Drosophila melanogaster: one gene and its partners. The protein of the gene in region 1 interacts with the protein of each later gene in a pairwise test. Each region holds a gene or a part of one and is shown on either strand. Other genes may lie near its edges.

What was found. The genes of interacting proteins can lie anywhere in the genome.
Region 2: the proteins of PGAP5 (region 1) and CG15043 interact in a two-hybrid assay, tested with the Drosophila melanogaster proteins (one large-scale study listed by BioGRID).
Region 3: the proteins of PGAP5 (region 1) and Npl4 interact in a two-hybrid assay, tested with the Drosophila melanogaster proteins (one large-scale study listed by BioGRID).

Annotation. Positions count from the first base shown.
Region 1 is NT_033779.5:8,196,945-8,204,720, reverse strand, and holds PGAP5 (Post-GPI attachment to proteins 5), read right to left. Parts: upstream 5,769-7,776; 5' UTR 5,679-5,768; coding exon 5,260-5,678; intron 5,193-5,259; coding exon 4,688-5,192; intron 4,620-4,687; coding exon 4,441-4,619; coding exon of another isoform or gene 4,440-4,440; exon of another isoform or gene 4,376-4,439; coding exon 4,366-4,375; 3' UTR 4,069-4,365; downstream 1-4,068. Other genes in the region: SLC5A11 (Sodium/solute co-transporter-like 5A11), read left to right, coding at 26-34, 1,085-1,194, 1,252-1,407, 1,475-1,634, 2,188-2,253, 2,312-2,363, 2,422-2,489, 2,546-2,959 and 2 more; CG8460 (uncharacterized protein), read right to left, coding at 5,967-6,108, 6,173-6,572, 6,639-6,842, 6,900-7,089, 7,156-7,428. UniProt on the Drosophila melanogaster protein: Metallophosphoesterase.
Region 2 is NC_004354.4:18,490,375-18,497,024, reverse strand, and holds CG15043 (uncharacterized protein), read left to right. Parts: upstream 1-2,856; 5' UTR 2,857-2,942; coding exon 2,943-3,177; intron 3,178-3,250; coding exon 3,251-3,507; 3' UTR 3,508-3,832; downstream 3,833-6,650. Other genes in the region: Pgant7 (polypeptide N-Acetylgalactosaminyltransferase 7), read left to right, coding at 1-616; CG15044 (uncharacterized protein), read left to right, coding at 5,134-5,616.
Region 3 is NT_033777.3:25,618,428-25,626,938, reverse strand, and holds the start of Npl4 (nuclear protein localization 4), read left to right. Parts: upstream 1-3,193; 5' UTR 3,194-3,359; coding exon 3,360-3,461; intron 3,462-3,533; coding exon 3,534-3,767; intron 3,768-3,829; coding exon 3,830-3,987; intron 3,988-4,048; coding exon 4,049-4,577; intron 4,578-4,637; coding exon 4,638-4,836; intron 4,837-4,898; coding exon 4,899-5,059; intron 5,060-5,100; exon of another isoform or gene 5,101-6,417; coding exon of another isoform or gene 6,418-8,460; exon of another isoform or gene 8,461-8,511. Other genes in the region: Ssadh (succinic semialdehyde dehydrogenase), read left to right, coding at 302-595, 772-2,007; CG5071 (uncharacterized protein), read right to left, coding at 6,418-8,460. UniProt on the Drosophila melanogaster protein: May be part of a complex that binds ubiquitinated proteins and that is necessary for the export of misfolded proteins from the ER to the cytoplasm, where they are degraded by the proteasome.

The DNA of each region.
Region 1 (7,776 bases):
CTAGCGTTTGCCGGTCCCCAACAATATGGAAGCGGTACGTATTTTGCACATTTCGCCGGTTCCAAACATTAAGAGCTATTTAGGAACTTTGGAGCGGGGGACACGGCATTTGGGTTACAAAGTCCAAGTCCAGGGCGATAATGCTGCTGCTGCTCGAGATATTGCGTAAAAGGTTGAAGTCTCTTCTCTGAGATTCGATCGGCTCCGATTGATCATCCAGTCAATGAACCTAAATGGCAGACGAAAAATTAGTATTTTATGCTAAACACCGTCTGCATCATTAGATAGGAACTAAGAAAGTAAAAGAAAATTGGGAGTATTAAAAATATATTAATTTTGCTAATAACAAAAGATTCATAATCTAGAAAACCAAAGCTGGATAATGTCAAAGTCACCAGAACGAGTTATCTTGCCAAATATGCATTTGATAATAACGCGAAATCATATTAATAAAATGTTTTGTAATTTTGAAGCGATTGCTAAACATGTTAAATAAATAATACATGGGGAAAAGGGTTAAAGTCTCTAGTCCGTAGAGATTGATGAATAATAAGCAGGCACCTGCTGATAAGACCTGGTTCCCATAACTTCACATGGACATGGACATTGTGGTTGTAGGGACTTAAGTACCACTTTTAATAATATGATTAAGCCATGGCATTTTGGACGAGCGAAACAAACTGTTTAAAAGCAGATAAAAATGTATTGTGGAGTAATACATAAATAAACAAAGCGAGATAATTGTAATTAGCATGTATTTGCTAACTTTTTATACCTAGCTTTTAAGAAAATCTCTTACCGTACACAGTTGGTACTTTAAAAGCAAGAGTCTCATTTTCATTTTATGACCCATTTAAGACAAACTACAGCAATTACAAGTATATTGGCCACAGACCCAGACGTGCGATGATTATATGAATTCTGAGTTCATTTCGCACACTTGTTCTTACAAAAGAAACAAATTAAGTTTCTGAACTTTAAAACCACCTGATAGAGATTGTCACTGCCAAGGAGAATCACAACAAACTTTAAACTAAATCATATAAAGATCATAAACTGACCCAAAATTAACTCTTTTTCTTAGGTGGCAAAGAAGGGCATGGAGAACTACAGATTTGGCAGTGTGGACTATGCCGTTTTCCTGGGCATGATCGTATTATCCACCAGCACGGGCATCTATTTCGGGTGCATCAAGTGAGTGACCTTTAAACAAATCCTCGGAATATTGCCAAACAATTGTTGTAATTACAGGAAGAGCAAGGTGAAGCTCGAGGAGGCGGAACCCACTCTGCCGACGACCACGCCAAAAAGGCGGAAACACGATTTCGGATCGGAGAAGATGAGCGAGTATCTGCTAGGGTCACGCAATCTGAAAGTTTTCCCCGTTGCCATGAGCCTGATAGCCAGGTAGAGTTGGCGATGCGATCCCGCACCTCCAAATATGCCTGTACAATCTGTTCCCTTTTATTTCCAGCTATATATCGGGCGTTACCATACTGGGCACAACCTCTGAGATCTACAATTATGGCACGCAATATTGGTTTATAGCCATAGCAATAATGCTCCAAGGTATTGCCGTCTCCTACGTCTACATACCAGTGTTCTCGGCTCTTCAAGTAGGCTCTTCCTATGAGGTACGATACTCGTAAATTCTATAAACTGATTTATACATTTACAATCTAATGGGTCAATAAGCTTATGCTAACAGTAAAAGTAATAACGTCCAGAACGCAACCAAAAATGTAAATTGGGTTTTAACGGAAATATTAATTTAGCTATAAAATACTCACCATTTCTTTCAATGACGAGTTAGTTAAAATAAAGATAGACAAGTTCATCTGTAGTGGTTGCTGATAAGAATGACAAACTTTCTAAGATGTTTCCGTCTTCCCCCTTTCGCTCCGTCACTTTTGTCCAATCAATGAACGGAGGACGTAGTGAACACTTTAATTAACTGGGAATCGGAGACCACCCTCCCCTCAAGTGGAATTTCTTGGACTTTGCACTCGCCCACTTGTTGCGACTTTTTTCTGGGTTCCAGCGGTTCGATATGATTAATTGCAATGTGGTTTTCTGCCACTTGACAATTGTGTCGAGCAATTAGTTTTCGTTTTCGGTCTTTATGACGTTAGTTTTCGAATCCTAAACGCAAGTCATTTGAATTATGAAATATAATATTGCTTTCAGTACTTGGAGATGCGCTTTCATTCGGTCGTACGAAGTATTGCATCCTTTATGTTTATTCTGGATGAGGTAAGTCAAAGATAATATTTGGACTGCAATGTTGTAATAATTGTCGATCCAATTTTAGATTCTGTTTCTGCCTTTCATTGTGTATGTACCAGCTATAGCTCTGAATCAGGGTAAGCCGCATTTGTTAATTGTTTGAAACACAACTTTAATCTTTCGATAATCTTGCAGTATCGGGCATTAATCTCCATGTGATTGCAGTGGTAATTGTGGTCGTGTGTGTTTTCTACACCTTTGTCGTAAGTTTTAGAGAGTTTCATACGTATGTTTTTATACTAATGGCGCCTATTTTCAGGGAGGAATCAAAGCAGTGGTCCACACAGATGCTTGGCAGGTGCTGGTCATGTTCCTTTCCGTTCTTGCTGTGGCTATTTTGGCCACTGTCTATGCAAATGGCTTGAATGTCCTTTTCGATGATGCTGCCAAAGGTGGCCGATTGATCTTTAACAATACAAACCCATCGCCTTATGTAAGGCACACTGTTTGGAGCGTCCTAATCGGGGGATTCTCCTACTGGACCTCATTCAATGCCGTCAACCAGACCATGGTCCAGCGATACATGTCTCTTCCATCGCTCAAGAAGGCTCGTGCTTCCATGGCCATTTTTACAATTGGCGTGGCTGCCTTCGTCTCTGTTTGTTGTTATGTGGGACTGCTAATCTATGAGATGTACAAAGATTGTGATCCTCTGAGTGCGGGACTAATAACAGTGAGTAAATAATAAATTGTTTTTGAACTTTACTTACGTTTATTTCCTTGCAGCACGACGATCAGCTACTGCCGCTCTTTGTCGTTCAGAGTGTGGGTCATATCTATGGTATGTCTGGTTTGTTTATAGCCGGCATATTTGGAGCTGCCTTGAGCTCCCTTTCTGTGGTTCTGAACTCAACGTCCTTGGTAATCCTGGAGGATATAGTTCGCGGCTGCTTCAAGATGCAACCAAGTGAAAGAGCCTCCACCATTCTGGTAAAGTCAACTGTTATAGTTCTTGGCTTTGTGGCCCTATCACTGGTATTTGTCCTGGAACAACTGAGTGGAATCCTGAGCATTTGCACTTCAATGACGGCCATCGCAGCTGGAACCACTTTTGGCCTGTTTACCCTGGGAATGCTCGTTCCCTGGGCCAATACTGTAGGCACTGCTGTGGGCGGAATTGCAAGTGCTCTGCTCGCCGGGTGGATATCCTTTGGAACGCAGTTTACCATCGCAGCGGGTGAATTGAATTCTCAAAAGCTTCCCGTATCCGTGGAGGGATGTGTGGGCAATGTAACGCTTCGGGAAAATATATGGGTAGATGAGGAGCAAGTTTTTCCACTGTACCGACTGTCCTACCACTGGATAAATCCCATTGGTGTGGCCACAGTCATTGTGGTAGGTGCACTAGTCTCCCTTGTGACCAAACCCACAAATATGAAAACACTAGATCCGGATCTAATATCACCAGTGATTCACAGGTAATTTTTGTAACCACATGTTTAACCTCTGTTATTAAACCCATTTTTTCTTCTAGATTCCTTCCAAAAGAATGCTTTAGTGGTCGCAATCTCCATGCGCAGGCGCACAAAAACCTCTTAAACGTATCCTAAAATAGACGAACCAGAACTTCCTGTGCCAAACTAATGGAATTGATGGCATTGAATTCCACACCCTGTTTTGTTAGCATAGTTTGTAGTTGTAGTTGCTTTGTGGTAGTTACCTTATAGATAGCCTAGTCTAGTACAATGTGATCCAGATATTGGAAGACATAAACCGAAGTACAGGAACCTATGAATCTGCATCTCAGAATACAGAGTGCACAATCATTAACGTTATATAGTAAATGTATTATAATATAGCTTTATTTAATTGTTCTGTTTGTATCCGTTCTTTACTTTCCAGCCTTTGTTCAAGCATTATTTTTTTGGCATTTTCGATTTGTAGTCAGCAGACTGTGTCTCATTATGTATTCCGTTTGACTTTACAAGCATAATGTCTGTGATAAATTCAATAAATAGATCATACATACTATCCGAATTTTGTACACCTAGAATATAGTTAAGCGGTTGCAAAGCAGCAGGAATGATATGACCTCTGTCTGGATCTGGATCTGGGATCTGAGTCTGGAATCTGGCGTATCTAGTCTAAACTAAGCCCCAATCAGGCGTAAATCACAAAAGAGGATATGCCTTGTATAGGCATGCTTATACATACTAATTAACCTTCCGATGATCTACAGCCGACGACTGTCTTCTGCTTTGGATGCACTTTCGTAGCTGGAACCCGATGACAATTAGGCAAAGAATGCCAGCACTCAGATAGCTATTGAAGACAAACTGCTGTGGCAGCATTTTGCACTTGGAAACCACATAGTCATCGGGGGTTATAGTGGCCTAAAAGTTATGGCATGTTAGTACAAGTTCGAAGGGCTAACAATCGTAAGAGCAAATATAATACTCACCAGCATAAAGCTGGGATTAACTTTGTTTCGCCAGCTGAATGAGGCCACCGTGTACTCATCGATGCCCAGTCGATTTACACTGTGACAGAAGTGATGTGAATGACCGGCGAATGCCAGCCTTGGCTTAAGCAGCTCTCCCAGCATATCCGTGGCATCCTTGGAGAGCACATGAAACCGCTCTCGGAACGCCTCGATGTACGGAGCATCGTGCTCCTCGCACATGGTATCCGAAATGCGGTAGGTGGGAAAGTGCTGCAATAGAATTGGCTGGCTGTACGGGTGCCGCCTGGTGCGAGCGCACTCCGCCTCTAGTGGATACTTCATGCAGTACAAAGTCCTCGAAATGTTTTTCAACTGATCCTCGGCCTGGGTGCAAAACATGCAACCATCACCTTCCATAGCCATCGAATTTATCACCACAAAATGGATTTGTTTAATGGTGTACAAATTGACCGAGGAGTTGTTCAGATAACTCTCAAAACGCGACATAAAGAAGGGATGCATTCTGGAAAACACACAAGAGCGCGGTTTAACAAATATCAGGGAATACACATAGTCTCTTATTGACTTACTTGTAATGGAAGCCCACGTCATGATTTCCCGCGACACTGATGAGCGGAATTCCCGGTGGTAGGTGGAACATCTTCAGGTAGCGCCACACATATTCCTGGAACTGCTTGTCGCTGACCATGTCGCCCTCGTCGAACAAATCGCCCAAGACGAAGACCACGTCGGGCTGGAACAGACGTGATGCCGCCTGAAAGGCCCGCGTCATGTGCCACTCCCGGTAGAGCTTGTCCAGCCAGTGACCACGATGCGGTCCCAGCAGATGCGGATCCGCTAGAATCATTGCCCTAAGCGGATCGTCCACATACTTCTTTCGCTTTATCTCCGGCCACTTGCACTTTTGCAGCACCACAAAGTCCGCCACATATTCGCAGAAGATCAGGGCGCACAGCACGATCACAAAGCAGGCATAAAGAAAGCGCATTTCAGGATTTCTCACCGGCTAAAAAAATAATAACAAATTTATTCTAGAGCTGAAAAACCATCAGCGATAGTATCGTTTTAAACGAGTAAACGGCCCGATATAAATTTAAAATATTCGATAAATTAAACAGTGCTGTCAAGCGGCTGTCGGTTGACTAACAAATTGGCGCCTCATTTCAAAGTTGGTTACTAAAATTGTAAATTGGAAAAATTATGAAGCATTATGGCTTATATATAATTTCCTTTATTTGGAATAGGTATTGTGCATTGCATGCTGCTTACAGGCTAACTAGAAGAGATCGTAAAAATAGTTTAGGCCTTGGCCAAGTTCCCAGATTGAAATGCCAGTGCCCAGTTCCTGGGCGAGCTTTATTCGCTCGTTTATGGAATAGAGAGTGGGATAAAAGACAATGTGGCGACCGTCATCGTTTCTGAAAGTAATGATATTCATCATCTTCGCCTTACACTCTGCATACGCTGCAGTAGAAAACTCACTTGATTTCAAAGAAATTTTCCACATCCCGCTCATCGTAAGTTAGGTGCTTCTTCACATGCCTGACTAGATCCAAGTACTGGGAGAAGGTGATGGGTCCACCTCCATCGGGCGTGTAATCATTCCCGTACATATTCAGTCCCAACAGAATTTTAGCCCTCTTAGCCGTCATATCAGCGCAACCTTCTGGAGCTATTGTCTCCACAGCCTTACGGACGAAATATAATGGTGCATTTGCTCCGGGACGCTGCACGCTGGAGAAGTCGTAAGTCATCAGAGAGAAGGCGTATATGTGCTTGAACAGCTTGTCCATGTGCTTTTCTCCAAAAAGGTGGCCTGTTTCCTTGCGGAATGGAGGAATGACCAAAATGAGTCGCAGCTGTTGCTTTTGTAGTTCTTTGGCTAAGTGACGTAAAAGAAATTTAAATTATTAATAACAAACAAAGGGTTACAACGCATTAAGCTCACCCATTTGCAAAACCAGTGTGTACAGAATTTTGTCATCTATGCGTCCAGCTAGCTGGGACCACACCTCCAGGACGAGTCCATCGAAGCCATTATCCTTGCAGCACTTGATCAGCACGTCGTTGACTTTCGTCCTCTCCTGGGCGTCGCTAAGCAAGAGCTTAATGTCCCGATCAGTGAAGTGATCGAATATAAAACGGGGAAACACTGAAATCCAAGGAAAGTGAGTTTAGACTAACGCCAGCGGGTATCATTTTCTCATACCTTTAACCGTTCGCTGATTGTGCACCTGTTTACCCTTTCTCCGGACATCGGTTAGCCAACCCGCATCGATGTCATGGGTTCCGGCTACGGCATAACGATCTCCCTGCTTAACAATCTGCAGCCAAACCGGCGAGATAATGTCGAACTTCTTGGCAAATATCTTAGCCACATCATAGCCATGCGAGTTCCACTACAAGCAAAGCAAACAATAGATTAATACACATGCACAAAATGTGGGAGTACGTCCTCTGCTTACTGGAGTCACATAGCCCAAGGTGGTGCCATTGAAGCGTCGCAATCCCGTCTCCTTGAAGTACCCGCGATGATTGCTCACGATATCCTTGGCCAGGGGCTCGGGACTAACCAAGCCCAGATCGAAAACATCTTGGTCTTGCGGACCGCCACGCAGAGCACTCTCCTTGGTCTTGCTCTTCGATTTGTGGCTGTCCGGGGCGAGGGTTCCGCGGACGGTGGTCAGCAGTAGAAGCAGGAGAGCGACGCGGAGCAGGAGCGCATCAGGCGCACGCATTTCGACAGAAGGACAATCAGGACCACAGCATAAATCGCACAAAAACAAATCGCATACAAAAAAAAAGCCGGCAGCAAAGTGACCATAGCGTACACTAAACGGCAAACGGCATCAGACACTCTAAATGGTCACCCTAAATTGGTAAATAGCAGTGTGCTTCAGAAATTATTACTTGGACTTGACTTAACATTATATTTGATATATTTTATTTTATTATTTATAAGCTTAAAATTATATCACCGAATTATTTCAACTTCAAACAATAACGAGAACTTAATATGTTTCTTAAATTGCGCATCCGATTTAAATCACCCGCTCTGCCTTTAACGATTGGTCTTCAACAATCGA
Region 2 (6,650 bases), on another chromosome or scaffold:
CAAGAAGAAGGGTCCATTGATCACGATCAACTACAAGCGCGTCATCGAGACGTGGTTCGACGACACGCACAAGGAGTACTTCTATACGCGCGAGCCGCTTGCCCGCTACCTGGACATGGGCGACATTAGCGAGCAACTGGCGCTGAAGAAGCGACTGAACTGCAAGAGCTTCCAGTGGTTCATGGACCACATCGCCTACGATGTGTACGACAAGTTCCCGGGTCTGCCGGCCAACCTGCACTGGGGCGAGCTGCGCTCGGTGGCCTCCGACGGATGCCTGGACTCGATGGGCCACCAGCCGCCGGCCATCATGGGCCTCACATACTGCCATGGAGGCGGAAATAATCAACTGGTTCGGCTCAATGCCGCTGGCCAGTTGGGCGTCGGCGAGCGCTGCGTGGAGGCCGATCGGCAGGGCATCAAACTGGCCGTGTGTCGTCTGGGGACAGTCGACGGTCCTTGGCAGTACAACGAGCACACGAAGCACCTGATGCATCGCGTCCACAAGAAATGCATGGCCCTGCATCCGGCCACGCAGCAATTGTCATTGGGTCACTGCGATGTTAACGATAGCTACCAGCAGTGGTGGTTCAAGGAGATACGCCCACGCTGGTAAGTCCAGCATGTTTGGGAGGAGCAGCAGGAGGAGGAGGATCAAGGAATGGATCACAAGGGTTTCAGCCGGGGCAACGGGGGCGATATTTTAGACAAAAGCAATTTAGTGAAAATGAGAAATGGAATTGTTGTTGGTTTTGTAACGCATATAAGTATTGATATACACACGAAAAACACAAGATATCACACACATCTGCATTTATGACGCGAACTGTATGTACATATGCACTGTCGGCACTTGGAAATCGCCTGGGCAACCGGGATTCAGACAAGGGCATTCAATGCTCGGCGAATAAATAAATCCACAAGGATATTATTAAATTATTAAAGCTTAAGAATTTCGATTTTGTAAAACAATGTCGTAAGGAATCGCGAACAATTGTATTTCCATGTAAGCATTAGAACAATTGCTTTTAGACCATATTTGTAGTGCATGAAGTGAATGCAATTTTCAAAATCGTGTGTGTGTGTTAGTAGTAGTCGTACTTGAAAACTGTTTTCCACTTTTGTCACGAAAGATCAAACTCCACAAAATGCACTTAGTGCAGAGCGTACGAAAATCATCACAATTAGCTGATAGTGAACCCATTCCCATTTCGATCGGCGAATCTCATACAATAGATATTCAATTGATATTTGGGAGGATCCAAGCCTGGGGGATTTCCGTGCCGACCTCGTGTGTGTGTGTCCTTGCGTATGAGTGAGAGAATGCGATGGGTATAGAGCGGAAGCGAATAAGAGCGAGATAGCGCGATGGCGGGATGGCGAGTCGAGTGCAATAGAGGATTTATGAAACGGGAACGGGACGCGATGACAGGGCCGCAGATTGTTTTGCTTTATGATTGCCAACTGAAAAAATGAATGTACTAACCTTAGTCTATACTCCTGCAAGTCCAACTAATCCTAGCTTAGTTTCAACGCTGCCACATTCCAATCTAATCCATTATAATCTATTCTAATTCCAATCCAATCCAATCCGAACCGAACCAATCGAGTCTGCAGCGAAGCTCGGCTCTCTTACTACTAATCCCATTATTTTTTTTTAAACTCTTGATTTTCGTAAAGCTCTCTGTACCAGGTAGTCGTAATCGTAATTGATCGTTGCAAGTGCTTCGGGAGTTTGATTTTTGAAAACAATATTTTACATTCATGTGTAACTTTAGAGTTATCGATAAGTCTGAATAATAGCATAGAAATAAAAACGTTTTCTAAACACTTTACCATGTAAGCCGAGCTGTTGAATGTTTAATATTGTGGGGAAGGGTCGATCCATTTATAAATCAATAGATATAATAAAGTTCCCATCTCAAGATGTGCTCACAATTTGAAACCTAAGTGCACAGAACAAGTTCGCATTTTTCGAAAGTTTTTAAAATTTCTTTTAATTTTATATTCTTTTGACGTAGGTGCACCATTAATGCCCCGCCAATTCTTTAAGTGTACGCATAGAATGGCGAGTAAATCCAATTTTAAGCAGATGATTCATAACTTATTGTTAAATCAAATCTACAATTATCGATGGCCGCGTTGATTGGGAGTGGTGATGATGGGTCGATTCGTCTCGAAGGTACTCGACGTCCCACTTCCAGGGAAGTCCACGGGCGATAAGATTCCGGGAAGTTCTTTCCTCCATCGCGGGTAGGGAAGTCTAAAAGCGCGAGGAAGGGGGAGGGAAGTCCAACAGGGGGACGCCAGCAGGTGTCAATCCTGGGGCAATAGATTGCGCCTAGAGTTAGTTTTTGGCTAATCAGGGCCTGAGGAAAAAAAAAAGATTGTTTGTTTACCGTCGGATAGGAAAGGTCGTACTCCCAAAGTGGGAGTCGTGGTCTTATCTTCCGCCCATTGGTACACCATCGCAGCTGCCGGCGGGGCGAAAGGGGGATGATTGGATCCGAGCGCAATAACACCGAAATTGTTCAATTTAATTGAGTGAAGTGGGAAGCTTCCTTATCAGCATTATTATGGTTACACTTCCGTGGGGTCGCTGCACTGTAAGGTGCTAGATATAAAAAAAAGCCCAATAACTCATTTATTTATCCTCTAAGCTCTAATTCAATACAAGAGTTTCATTTCTGAACGAGAAGTAGAGCAGTTCCAGCGTCGGTGTGACTCTTTTTCCGGTATTGGATTAGACATTGTCACTTGCCACTTGAAATTGGCAATGGGCCTGATAAGGGGGTACCTAATATGATTCAAAGAAAAACAGTGGGCGGTATAAATAGGTGGTTTCCAGACCTTGGCCATCATTCCGTGACTTCAACGTGCCGTGACTGGAGACCCTTAGTCCACACACTTCGTTTACCTCGAATTTCAATTCAACGCCCAAGATGTCCAAGTTTAGCCTCATCCTGTTGTCCGCCCTGCTGGGCTGTCTTGTGTCCGGTGGAGCGGCTGGAACAATACGTGTGGATACCACCGGCATCCAAGTGGTGGATAATATCCATGTCTTTGCCGCCCAATACCCGGGTCTGCAGATCCAGCAGATGGAGAAGGAAATTGTGCCGGCCAAGGCCCGCGTCGGAAGCCAGACCGTGCGCTACAACATGGGAGCCCGCATTCCGGGTAAGTTACCCAAAGCATACCCTACGTTTGACCGACCACCAATCACTGATCCCGCAATCTGGCATACTTTCAGGCGACGAACTGGTGGCCCAGACAGCCAACACTTACGAATTCCCACGGGCGCAAGATGTGAGCCTGCAGCTTACCTATCCGGAGAACGGCAAGGGTGCCACTGTATCCTACGTGGAGCTGCTCTGCACCCAGGACACCAACGAGGGCACCGCCTACGTGGTCGCCGGAGGCATCGGCCAGAGCTTGATCTCCATCGTGCTGGAGGCCAAGAACACCAAGAACTTCTCATACCAGGCTCTCTACTACGGAGTCAACTAGGAGGCATTTGCATTAGTTCCTCGCTAGCTTTATATATATATATATTTTTTTTTTTTTTTAAATGTGACTCCAATTTTAAATACATATGTATAATGGCAGACTAAAATGATTGCAGCACCTGCAATTATCTAGATTTACGTAATTAATTTCATTTCATTGATGGGATAAAGTTTATATGCTGTCATATGTTTAATCGTAAATATGCAATTAGATCATATATGTTTGTACTATCAGTCACTCTGTTAATTGAGTTATATGATAAATCAAATTCGGACCTGTTCCTCTAATTAAAAAATTTCATTTTTAACGAAGAATGTGTAGATCCAAAGATATACATGTACGTCTTTCACTGTGTACGATCGAATGTCGAATGTATTGCAAAGCTGAAAAGTCGGTAATGGTAGAGATCATATATCACCATCCCCAGGGTATTCGGTAATCTTGATCAATTTCAAATGGTTCGTTGCTCACGCGCCTTCCACTCGAAACCGATGATAGCCATTGCCATAAATCTGGGACAGCCACTCACCTGAATCCGCTGTGGATTCCGATTGCGGCTCCGTTTGGCATGGAAGGTGAAACCAAGGCGGCAAATCATCCAGGGATTTGTCTGCGAAAGAGTGAGACGCATGAAGTTTTTGTTCTACTGACGTTATTGAACTTTCCCCCTATCTGGCTGGATTTTTAGAAGGAATTCCCAACCGAATGAATCACGTTTTGGATGAGAACGAACAATGGCCAAACTCCCAAGACTTTGCGATTCAATTGGGTATTTATCATATAGCTGGGCATCTGAGTATCTGAGTATCTGTCTTCATTCAACTATTGGGGGGACTTTCTCTGGTGGTAAGTACGTCAGTCCAGAATCGATGTGGTATATATAGATATGTATGAATATAGTATCTATGACCATGTTGCGTAGACAGTCAATTGACTTTGTAGATACGGTTATTTGTTTATTAGATTGTTTGCCATTGTGCGCCATTATGCATATCAAGGCTAAGATTGTCGTGGAACAAATAAACAAACAAACACGCGCCATCACAGATCGTCATTCAACGGCGGAGGAAACATTTCCTTTATCCAGTAAGGTGGTGCTTCCTATCACTGGTTTTATTATTGGGTGGGTTGTCATAAAAAAAATAAAAATAAAAATCAACAACATACTATCTAGCCGCTTACTAATAGATTGAACTACGATAGCACATTAAGTTAATGCTTCTTGTACGCAGTCCGTCCAATCGTCCAATCAAATAACAAGTGTTCCCATCATATCCCATCATATGCCCATCCAATCCAATCCATTTCCCAGCGGTGTAAGCTCGAGTGTCCTATTTATAGGAACTGATCGCAGCATTATGGCCAATTAGTCGATGTGGTTTTATAAAGGCGTTTGCCGAAATTGCCACAGCCAATTCCCCCGGGGGCTTATCGTTCAGTTGTGTCGGGCCGTCTTATCGACGTAGTGACCGCCGATAAGGAAGCATGTATAAAAGCCGGAGGCGGTCGCCAGTACCAGCCAAAATTCAAAAAGCGTTCGAATAGTGCATCAGAAAAGGAGTCTACACACCCCTTATTCTTCCGATTATTTTGTTTCGTTCCCATTTTTTTTCTGGTGATCTGGTGATGTTAACAAAGATGTTCCTAGTGCTCTGCCTGGTGCTGGGCATCATGGCATCGGTATCCGGACAGCCACACGCCCGTGCCAGCGATCTCTACTATACGGACATAACGCCCGTGACCGACGAAACACGCTACACCACCCTCAATCCGGACGCACAGCTGAACGAGATGAACAAGGTGAAGCACTCGAAGGGCAACGTGGTCTTCACCGCGGGAAAGCGGGCATCGGGTGACCGACTCATTGTGAACCACTACGATGACGACAGCTTTCCCAGTGCCAAGGATGTGGAGGTGCTCATGAGCTATCCGGCCGGAGCCAGCACAGGGGTCACGCTGACGAGCATCGAGGTGTATGTGGACATGACGGCGGACGATGCCGGTGGCTATCTGACCAAGGGTGGCATCGGTCAGACCAACGTGGAGATTCTGCTGACCTCCAATCAGACGCGCAGCTTCGTCTACGAGACGTTCATCTATGGGTACTAGGACTGCTCGCCCAGAACTTTCAGCTACAATAAACGATTCGCTTGGAACCCAACTGTGATCATGAACTCCAGACCCTGCCCCTGTCCCTGCCCTTCCTGCCGAGAGTATTATTAGTCATAGACGTACATACATTAAAGAATCAAATTTCAAACGGACTACTGTGCACATCCTTTTACTTATCCGTACCATTGCAGAAATAAAGTGTTCCTTGTTGCTTGGCGCCCAAACGAAAGCGATTCTTTTCAGCTCCAATCCTATGAAGCCACTGAAAAGGTGGTTTCTCTACCTATGTATATTGTTTTGATATGAGTATATATAAGATAATTTATAAATGTATGAAAGGTGAGCTTAACTCCCAGCGGTTAGCCGGTTTTTAAAGTTTGCTACTTGCCAAAGGAGGAAAATATTCAATCTTAAATTTTGGGTTCTGTGTCCTCGATTGTTGCTCAGGGATTTCAGAGTACTGATCCGGAGAAGCTTAGATAGGAGGATGCGGATAGGGCCAGAGATAAAACAAAGCGGAGTTCCGAAGTTGAGAATCAGTTTGGTGCGAACTCTGGGAGAAGCTGCACCATGATGTGAAGATTCCTGATTCTGTTCACGGCACTTGGCGGAATTCGAACATGGGCTGCCAAGCTGAAGTTTTCCCTAAACGGTGGGTGTGTATTGCAGTCACCATTCAAGCGATCTAACTTGATGGTCATGTGATCTCAGAGAGGGGAATGCCTGTCCCGAAATGCCCAACTAACCGGAGAGTAGCTGCAACAGGAACTGCTCTGCGATGATCGAGAGCCACGTTCTCCGGAAACTACAGGCATTTACTCACTCCGGCTTATTGCGCCGGTTTGGAAGACGTCATCCTGATGCCAAATCGTGTCCGCCTGGGTCTTGTGGCTCCCTTCAAGAAGGAGCTTGTTATCAACGTAGGTTCTATTACGAGTAGTTCATAGCCGGATCAGTTACCAGACTCCACTTCCAGAGAAGCTTTAACTATAAAAGCGATCTTGTCCTGTTTCGGCTAACCCACAATTACA
Region 3 (8,511 bases), on another chromosome or scaffold:
AGAGCGCGAACATCTGCTGTTGATAGTAAAAAAACGAGTTGGCAGTTTCTAAGGCTCTGCTGGTTCGGAGCGTAAAAAATTAAAATCAATTAAATCCAATCAAAGCGCCCAATAGAAGCTAGAACTGCAGCTGTGGACAGCAGAGAGTCTTCCCGATAACGTCGCAGATAAGAGAAACGCCTCTAACCCCCCGCAGGTGATAAAAAGGTGATAAAGCAAGCGAACTCACATACCGGTTAATAATCGATTAGTAGCCAATTGTTAATTGCAATTAGTTTGTTTATTTCTAGCAGCCGGCAGAATGTGGCGACAGCTCAGCGGAGTCGCACGAACAGGAAGCAGCCTAAGCCTCTGCAGAATGCGAGGATTCTCGGCACTGGTGCAGGATAAGGCCCTGGTGGATGGCGCCTGGGTGGATTCCAGCAATGCAAAGGCGACCTTCGAGGTGCGGAATCCTGCCAATGGTGCTGTCATCGGCAAAGTGCCCAACATGACGGTGGCGGATGCCCAGAAGGCCATAGACGCCGCTAAGCAGGCGTACGAGTCCAAGGAGTGGCGATCCCTGACCGCCAAGGATCGGTCCAACCTGCTCAAGGTGAGTGCCGGGATCACTCGTTATCAGGGGTGCTGATTGTTGACCCCACAGATAAAGACCATCATATAATATGATGGGACTATAGAGTTGGAAAGTTCGACTGTAGGTCATTGTCATTATTTCTTCCTCTGGTCTCCAAGTTACTTCTGCTTATCTAATCTAATCTCGTCTTGCAGAAGTGGCACAAACTGATCGAGCAGCACTCGCAGGAGATAGCCGAGATAATGACGGCCGAGTCGGGCAAGCCGATCAACGAGTCGAAGGGGGAGGTGGCCTACGGAAACGCCTTCGTCGAGTGGTTTGCAGAGGAGGCCCGTCGCATCTACGGCGAAATTGTGCCCAGTGCATCGCCCAATCGCGAAATCATAGTAATGAAGCAGCCCATTGGGGTGGCGGCGCTGATTACGCCCTGGAACTTCCCGATGGCTATGATTACGAGGAAAGCAGGAGCCGCCCTGGCCGCAGGATGTACGGTCGTGGTGAAACCTTCAGAAGACACTCCTCTTACTGCCCTGGCTGTGGCCAAATTGGCAGTGGACGCTGGCATTCCAAAGGGTGTGATAAATGTGGTCACCACAAACAAAGCGGCTCCCATTGGCGATCTCTTCTGCAAGAGTCCCGATGTTAGGGGTATATCCTTCACGGGCTCCACTGAGGTGGGCAAACTGCTGTTCCGGAACTCTGCTGATGGCATCAAAAGGATTTGTCTCGAGCTCGGCGGCAATGCTCCGTTCATTGTCTTCGATTCGGCGGACATTGAAAAAGCAGTGGATGGCGCCATGGCCTCGAAGTTTAGGAATTGCGGACAGACCTGCGTCTCCGCCAATAGATTCTTTGTCCAGGACAGCGTCTACGATAAGTTTGTTGGGCAGCTGAAAAAACGCGTGGAAGCTTTGAAGATCGGAGATGGTCAGGGTTGCGATGTGCAAATCGGACCACTGATCAACGAGATGCAGTTCAACAAAGTCAGTGGCTTTGTGGAGGACGCCAGGTCGAAGAAGGCGAACATTATTCTGGGCGGACAGCCGTTGCCCGACAAGGGATCCCTTTTCTACGCACCCACAATTGTCACAGATGTGCCACCCTCGGCGCAACTCTACTCGGAGGAGGTCTTTGGTCCAGTGGTCTCCATCATACGGTTCCGAGACGAAGAAGAAGCGGTAAAGAAGGCAAACGACACCAGGAGAGGCCTGGCCGGTTACTTCTACAGCGAGAATCTGCAGCAGGTGTTCCGGGTGGCCAAGCGACTGGAGGTTGGCATGGTCGGCGTCAACGAAGGCATCATCTCCGCAGCAGAGGCTCCGTTTGGTGGCGTCAAGGAGTCCGGTGTCGGACGGGAGGGTTCCAAACACGGTATCGACGACTATGTGGACATCAAGTACATTTGCATGGGCAACCTCAAGTACGACTGAAGTCCGATGGAGGGATCACCCCCACTGCTTTCATACGCTGTCTTCCACTAGAATGCGATTGGTTTATTGTTGTCTAATTGTAGAATAACACGCCGCTATATTAATAAATGTGCACAAAGTCTACCTGAAGCTAATAGATAATTTCCCTTTTTTAAAATAGCCCGCCTCACCTTTCGATTAATTGGGATTGGTTAACAATCGCTTTAAATTGACAAGAAACCGATCATAGAGACATCGATATCCGGGAGTAATCGATTTTTCTCCACCTCTGGGCAGACTATCGCCATCCCCACAGCTGTGCGACAGAGACAGAGACAAAATTACAATGCCAAATGACAAAATTGTAAGTAAATTGTTGATAAAAAATTAAAAAGTGCATTTAGGGTGGAAACTAAGCGAATGTCTTATTGGTGAAGTGTGTGCAGTGAAATTGGTCAAGTGTTTCCCTATAGCTACCCACCAAAAAAGCCGGCAAACAATGTCGGTTTTCCAGTTCGCTGGCGTTTGTTGTTGTTGCCTAAATGTATGGAAAATATATTTAAAGTGCATTTCAGCCGGCAAAAGCGAAGCATATAATGCATAATGAACCCATTTGGAAGCACTCCCGGCAGTGCAAATCCACTGCAAGTCCCGAAATGCGGCCAAAGGTGCTGGCGGTGAAATTGAATGGTACCATGACTTGTAGATTTTCCACTGAAAGAGTGCAGTCTAGGCGGCAGTAGGACTGAGGGGAGTGTGCGGGGGTTTTGAGACCAAAAACCGATCCAAAAACCAAATAAATTATTAACAATTGTTGGCTGCAATCCGCCTGGGGGAAATGCATTTGAGGATATTTCTGTCTAATAAAGCAATTTCTGGTTGATAGGGTGCTACACTCAGAAAAATGTCTCTGCGTAAAATTAATTTTTGAAATATATGTTTTGTAAAATAAGAAAACTGCACATACCAGTAAATAGCACAACTTAAAATTTTAAATACAAATTTAATATAATTTTTTTGTTTTAAAACTGCATGCAGCTTGTCTTTCAAAATGCTGTTTTATTTTTTATTTAAAGCTCATACAATTACAGATCCGAATTTACATATACAGGCATTAGTTCTCTTTTTAACTATGCACTCATTTTGGCAACGAATTGCATTTGTTTTTAATTGCGATGCCAGATAAATTTCCGCAGTCAAGTTCGCGCCTTCATGACGTACAGTTCGAAACACTAAGCAAAAAGCCCTACAGGCTTTGGTAGCTAATAGCTACACTTGACAATCCCCCTTACCCAATCTACCACCCACCACCGCCCACACAAGAGCCCACCCAACCGCCCATCACCCAGTGACCCGTCCAGAAAGTCCAGAAAATGGCCTGTGCACCACTGCTGCTCGAGCAATTCATCTACAAGAAGCGCAATTTCGCCTACGCCTTTGTGCGCCATCGTCTGTTTGTGTTATGTAAACAATCGGTTGGATCAGAAATTGCCAAATTCACCTGTCCTAGTACTAATTAGAATCTGTTATTCATTTGTTAATTCCAGCTAATTCGCGTTCAGTCGGCGGAGGGCATCAAACGCATCGAGATCTCGCCCAAGTCAAATCTAAAGCATCTGTACGACAGCGTTCAGAATGCCCTGAAGGTGGATGGATTTGGTCTCTTCAAGGAGCGCAACTTCCTCACAGAGCTGCAGGCAAGTGGCTCCCAGCTGGTGGGGACTTCCTTGAGGCATGGCGACATGGTCTACTTAAAACAGATGGCTGGCACATCATCGCGCGTAAGTTGATCATATAGAGCAGAACGATCGGGGACTAACCTGCATTTTTCACCACTTCTCAGCGCACTAGCACCACTGTCCTGGACAGTCAGGCGTTCAAGACTAGCACCATTAGCAATCCAAACAGCGCTCGTCCATCCTTCAATGTGATCGAAGATGACGTGGACCAGGCTCTGAGCAAGGCTGATGGCACCATTAAGCGCGAACGTGATAGCAAGCTGTAGGCCTTGATTATACAATTAATTGTAAAATTAAACTGATCAACCTATAACTTTTTGTAGGTGCCACCACAATGCCAACGGCCGTTGCGTTCACTGCTCCGCACTGGAGCCCTATGATGAGTCCTATCTGAAGGAGCACAATATCAAGCACTTGTCCTTCCACTCGTACATACGAAAGCAGACATCCGGCATGGATCAGGGCAAGTACTTTGTCTTCGACGACATCAATTGCCGCATCAAGCCGGGATGTCGCGAGCATCCACCATGGCCCAAGGGCATCTGCTCCAAGTGCCAGCCGTCGGCCATTACGCTGAATCGTCAGACATATCGCCACGTGGACAACGTCATGTTCGAGAACACTAAGATCGTGGAGCGCTTCCTCAACTACTGGCGCACCACAGGACACCAGCGCATGGGATATCTGTATGGGACGTACGAGCAGCACACTGATGTTCCGTTGGGCATTCGGGCCAAGGTGGCTGCCATTTATGAGCCGCCACAAGAGTCTACCAGGGATTCGATCAATATTCAGCCGGATGAGTTCGCCGACGATGTGGATGCCGTAGCCAGTGCGCTGGGACTGAAGAAGGTTAGTTAGTTATAGACAGTAGCTATGTAGCATTAGTATTGACTTTTGTGACATTTATAGATTGGTTGGATTTTCACTGATCTCATCACGGACGATGCGAGTATCGGCACTGTCAAACAGATCCGTGGCATCGAGTCGCACTTTATTACGGCCCAGGAGTGCATCACAGCTGGCGAGCTGCAGAATCGACATCCAAATCCGTGTAAATATGCCTCCAATGGCGTCTTCGGCTCTAAGTTTGTGACCATTTGTGTAACAGGTAAGATTCACGATTTAATACTGCTTAATGAACTAGTACCAAAATAGTTTTTAACATTACAGGAGATAAAACCAAACAAGTGCACATGGAAGGCTATGCGGTTTCGGCTCAGTGCATGGCTCTGGTGCGCGATAATTGTCTGATACCCACTAAGGATGCGCCCGAGCTGGGCTACGTGCGTGAATCCACGGACAAGCAGTATGTTCCCGACGTTTTCTATAAGGTAAGTTAGAAAGTCTCCCCCCCATTCAAGCAAAATCAGTTATCGGGCAACCTTTATTGAATTACGTTCACACATTTACACAAACAACTTCCATATTTAGACATCAATACGAATGGGATTTGGTTTTTCAGTTTGATACATGCAAAGAAAATTTGGGTGTCAAGAGCAACGCCAATTCAAACATTTGACATCTAGAGGCTTACATTATCTTGGATTACGTTGATTTATTTATGGAACAACTTCATTATTTTCCTTATCCTTCTCGGTTTGTACTTCTCATCATTGCTCTGGGTTCTCCTTCAAACGTTCATTTTATTTTTCCTATACCTAGGACATTCATAAACAATGTTGTTATTTAGCGCATATTCAATTGTTAAAATAACTTTCTGAGCAACTGCCAAGCCAATCACAATTTTCCAGTTATTACCCTTATTTTTTTTTATTTATTTTTATTTTGCCAAACTGTTTTGTTCTATCTAATGCTTAATTGTGATACGCGTTTTTATTATTTTGGAAAATATAAGATTTCGATTTGATTTTTTTCTTTTCAATTGAAGTTAATCGTTGATTGATTGATTACTTAAAATAATTTAAAGTATAATAAGTCTACAAATTTCGTAAAATTGATTTCGATTTGTTCCTAAAAAGATTCTTTGCCTTCCTTTACATCGCTAAGGTCATATTATTACTTGATTCCCTTATTTTTATGGATGGCTATTCTTGGCGTTCATTATTTCATCCATCACAAACATAGCCTTAGTTATGATCACATCAAATGCATATTTAGACACCGAAAACTATCTCGTTTATTTACTTATTGCTAATAGGTTTATTTCATATTAATTATTAACTTGAATTGACATTAATTACATGTCAGCTATGTATTTGGATTTCACCTTACTCGTGGTTTCAAATTTTTAAGTTTTTATTGTAGCTAATTTACTATATCCAGGTATCGTCGTAGCGCTCCAACGCACATTTAGTGTCGTTTTCCTTAAGCTAAACTTATTTAAATACTCAAGGTCTGTTACAATTTCCACCTTGTCCATGAATCTGAAATGTTTATAGATCATTGATAGTCTTTTTTTTATTTAAAATAGCATCCAAAACGTTTCAATAAGTTGTAAATTGTTTATAAAAATTCTTTCTTTCTTTGTTAAAAAAATTGGCTTCTGTTGCTGAAAATGTCGAGTTTCAAGTGTCTTACATTGATCGTTTATTTTTACAAAATTTATACCAAGATTTGCATTCCAAGAATAAAATAGATATTGGGTGGTGTTGTACATTCAAAGTGTTTAGGAGCTTTCGGTTTGATACTGTTCGATAAGTAGGATTAGCTAATGGATCAGTCGGACTTATTATTGGTTTAAATGATATTCCCCACAATTCCGGATAATGCTCCTAAGGGCCGGGCGTCCTAGAGCATTGCCACTGGCCGCAATTCGGTCCACCAGCTCAATGCCCTGGACAATGAATCCGAAAATGGCGGTGAAGGATCGCATCTCGTTTAGCACCAGCCGAAATTGGCTGCCCACAAATCCACTTCTGTCCTGTCGCCGCTGTCCCCTGCGCATACCAACCGTTCCCCGATGTGCCGGCAATCCCGTTTCGTCTGGCAAAAAGTATCTGCTCTCAAAGGCCGAGTGCCCACCGCGTCCGTTCTGCGATTCAAAGTCGCCGGTGATGATGCTCTCGCCTCCCCAGGCCTGAAAGACAGTGCAGCCACGATAGCCATAGCCCCGCTCGTGCCGCACCAGCGCCCCAAAGTTGTCCGCCATCCGGGGAGCAGCATCAGATCGCACCTCGATTAGGACCCGTCCGGCCAGTTCTCCTGCTATTTCCATGTCCAGAAAGTAGATGGGGTAACAGTGAACGATGGGCTGACGCACAATGCTTACCGATGAACTCGTACCGCCATCCTGTCGATGATGATCATGGCTTTGTTGACCAATTAGCTGCGGCTCCACCGAGTTGACGAGAATCGCATCTGGCTGGTAAATTGAGTGGGTAAGCTGGTGTACTTGCTGCTGCTGCTGCTGCTGTTCCTGTTGCACTTGCTGCGGCTGCTGTTGCAACTGGCGCACCAATTCTCGAAGTCCATATTCCGTGTCTAGAGCAATATAATTGCTTTGGCTGTTTGTACTGCTGCTGCTGTTCGGCGACGAGGAGGATTCGTGTGAACCATCATACGGAGGTTGACTGAGCGTTCGAAACTGCTCGAGTTCGATCTGCTGCACATAATCCAGAAGTTCCACCTCCCGCAGGCTATTATTGAAATGCGGAGGCACCACAGCTCGCCGCGGTTCCGGCAGTAATTCTGGATCCGGTGTCAGATTCCTGTGGCGTGGAGGAATCATTTCGCGCTGCATCTCGCACCAGTAGGCGTACACACAGTAGTTGGTGAGGATGAGCGCCTGCGGTGGCCCCACATTGGCGGGAATAGCACCGGGCCGACGATGACTGCGTAGCCGTGCGATCCTGTTATTCAGAGTCTCAAAGTCCAGGACCTGCATCCCGTTCTCCTGAATTGCGGCTTGCATTCGACATTGAAAGTGCACCTGGTCCAACTGGCGCTCGTATCGCTGCCGCTGTGTGGCCAAGTGGGCGAGCACCTGCAGCATTTTTGCTCCAGTAAGTCTACCGACTCGATGCAGATCCCGCTCGGCTAGTCGATGCCAACCGATCATCGAGGCCGCAACCATGCTAGAATGGTGTTCCAGCATCTCACGCTTCACATGCAACTGAACGCGGTAGCACGCCTCGCACAGCTCGCGTAGTAGATCCATTTCGTGGGTGGCCAACTCTTTGGCATGGACAGCCGTGCTCTTGATCTTCCTCAACTCGGAGTTGAGCAGTTGGCTGATAAGGTCATGGTAATCAACCTGGCGCACCAGGATATGGTCCTGGTGCAATGGGACATCCGAGCAGGCACGGCACAGCAGACGTTGGCAATTGTGACACCACGTGGAGTTCGGCATGGCATGGATGAAACAGTGCTCCGCACTGGTGGCCAGAAAGCTCTCCACGTTGATGTCTTCCACCCAGTTTTTCGATGGGCTGCTGGGTGCTTCTTCAATAGACATTTCAATAGTGCTGCTCCTTTTGTACGAAAAATCCAACATGGCTCTGCCCAGAATCAAAGCTGGCAGCTCACGGAGCAGATACATGATGGTTACGGATTGCGGTAGCTGCTGGCCATCCAGCTGCGTGCGATATCCGCACAAATTGCAAATACACTCGGACGAGTTGTGGTCGGTGTTTCTTTGCACGCACTTCTTGCAGAAGCTGTGCCGGCAGGCGAGCTCCTGGGGCAGAAGGCCGGTGGCCAGATCGTACGGGCGATGGCATAGACCGCAGCTCAGCAGCGATTTCAGCTCCTTTGGCACCTGGATGGACTCCATTTTTGTCAGTACTAAAAAGTATAAAATTTAAACAAAAATACATAGGTATAA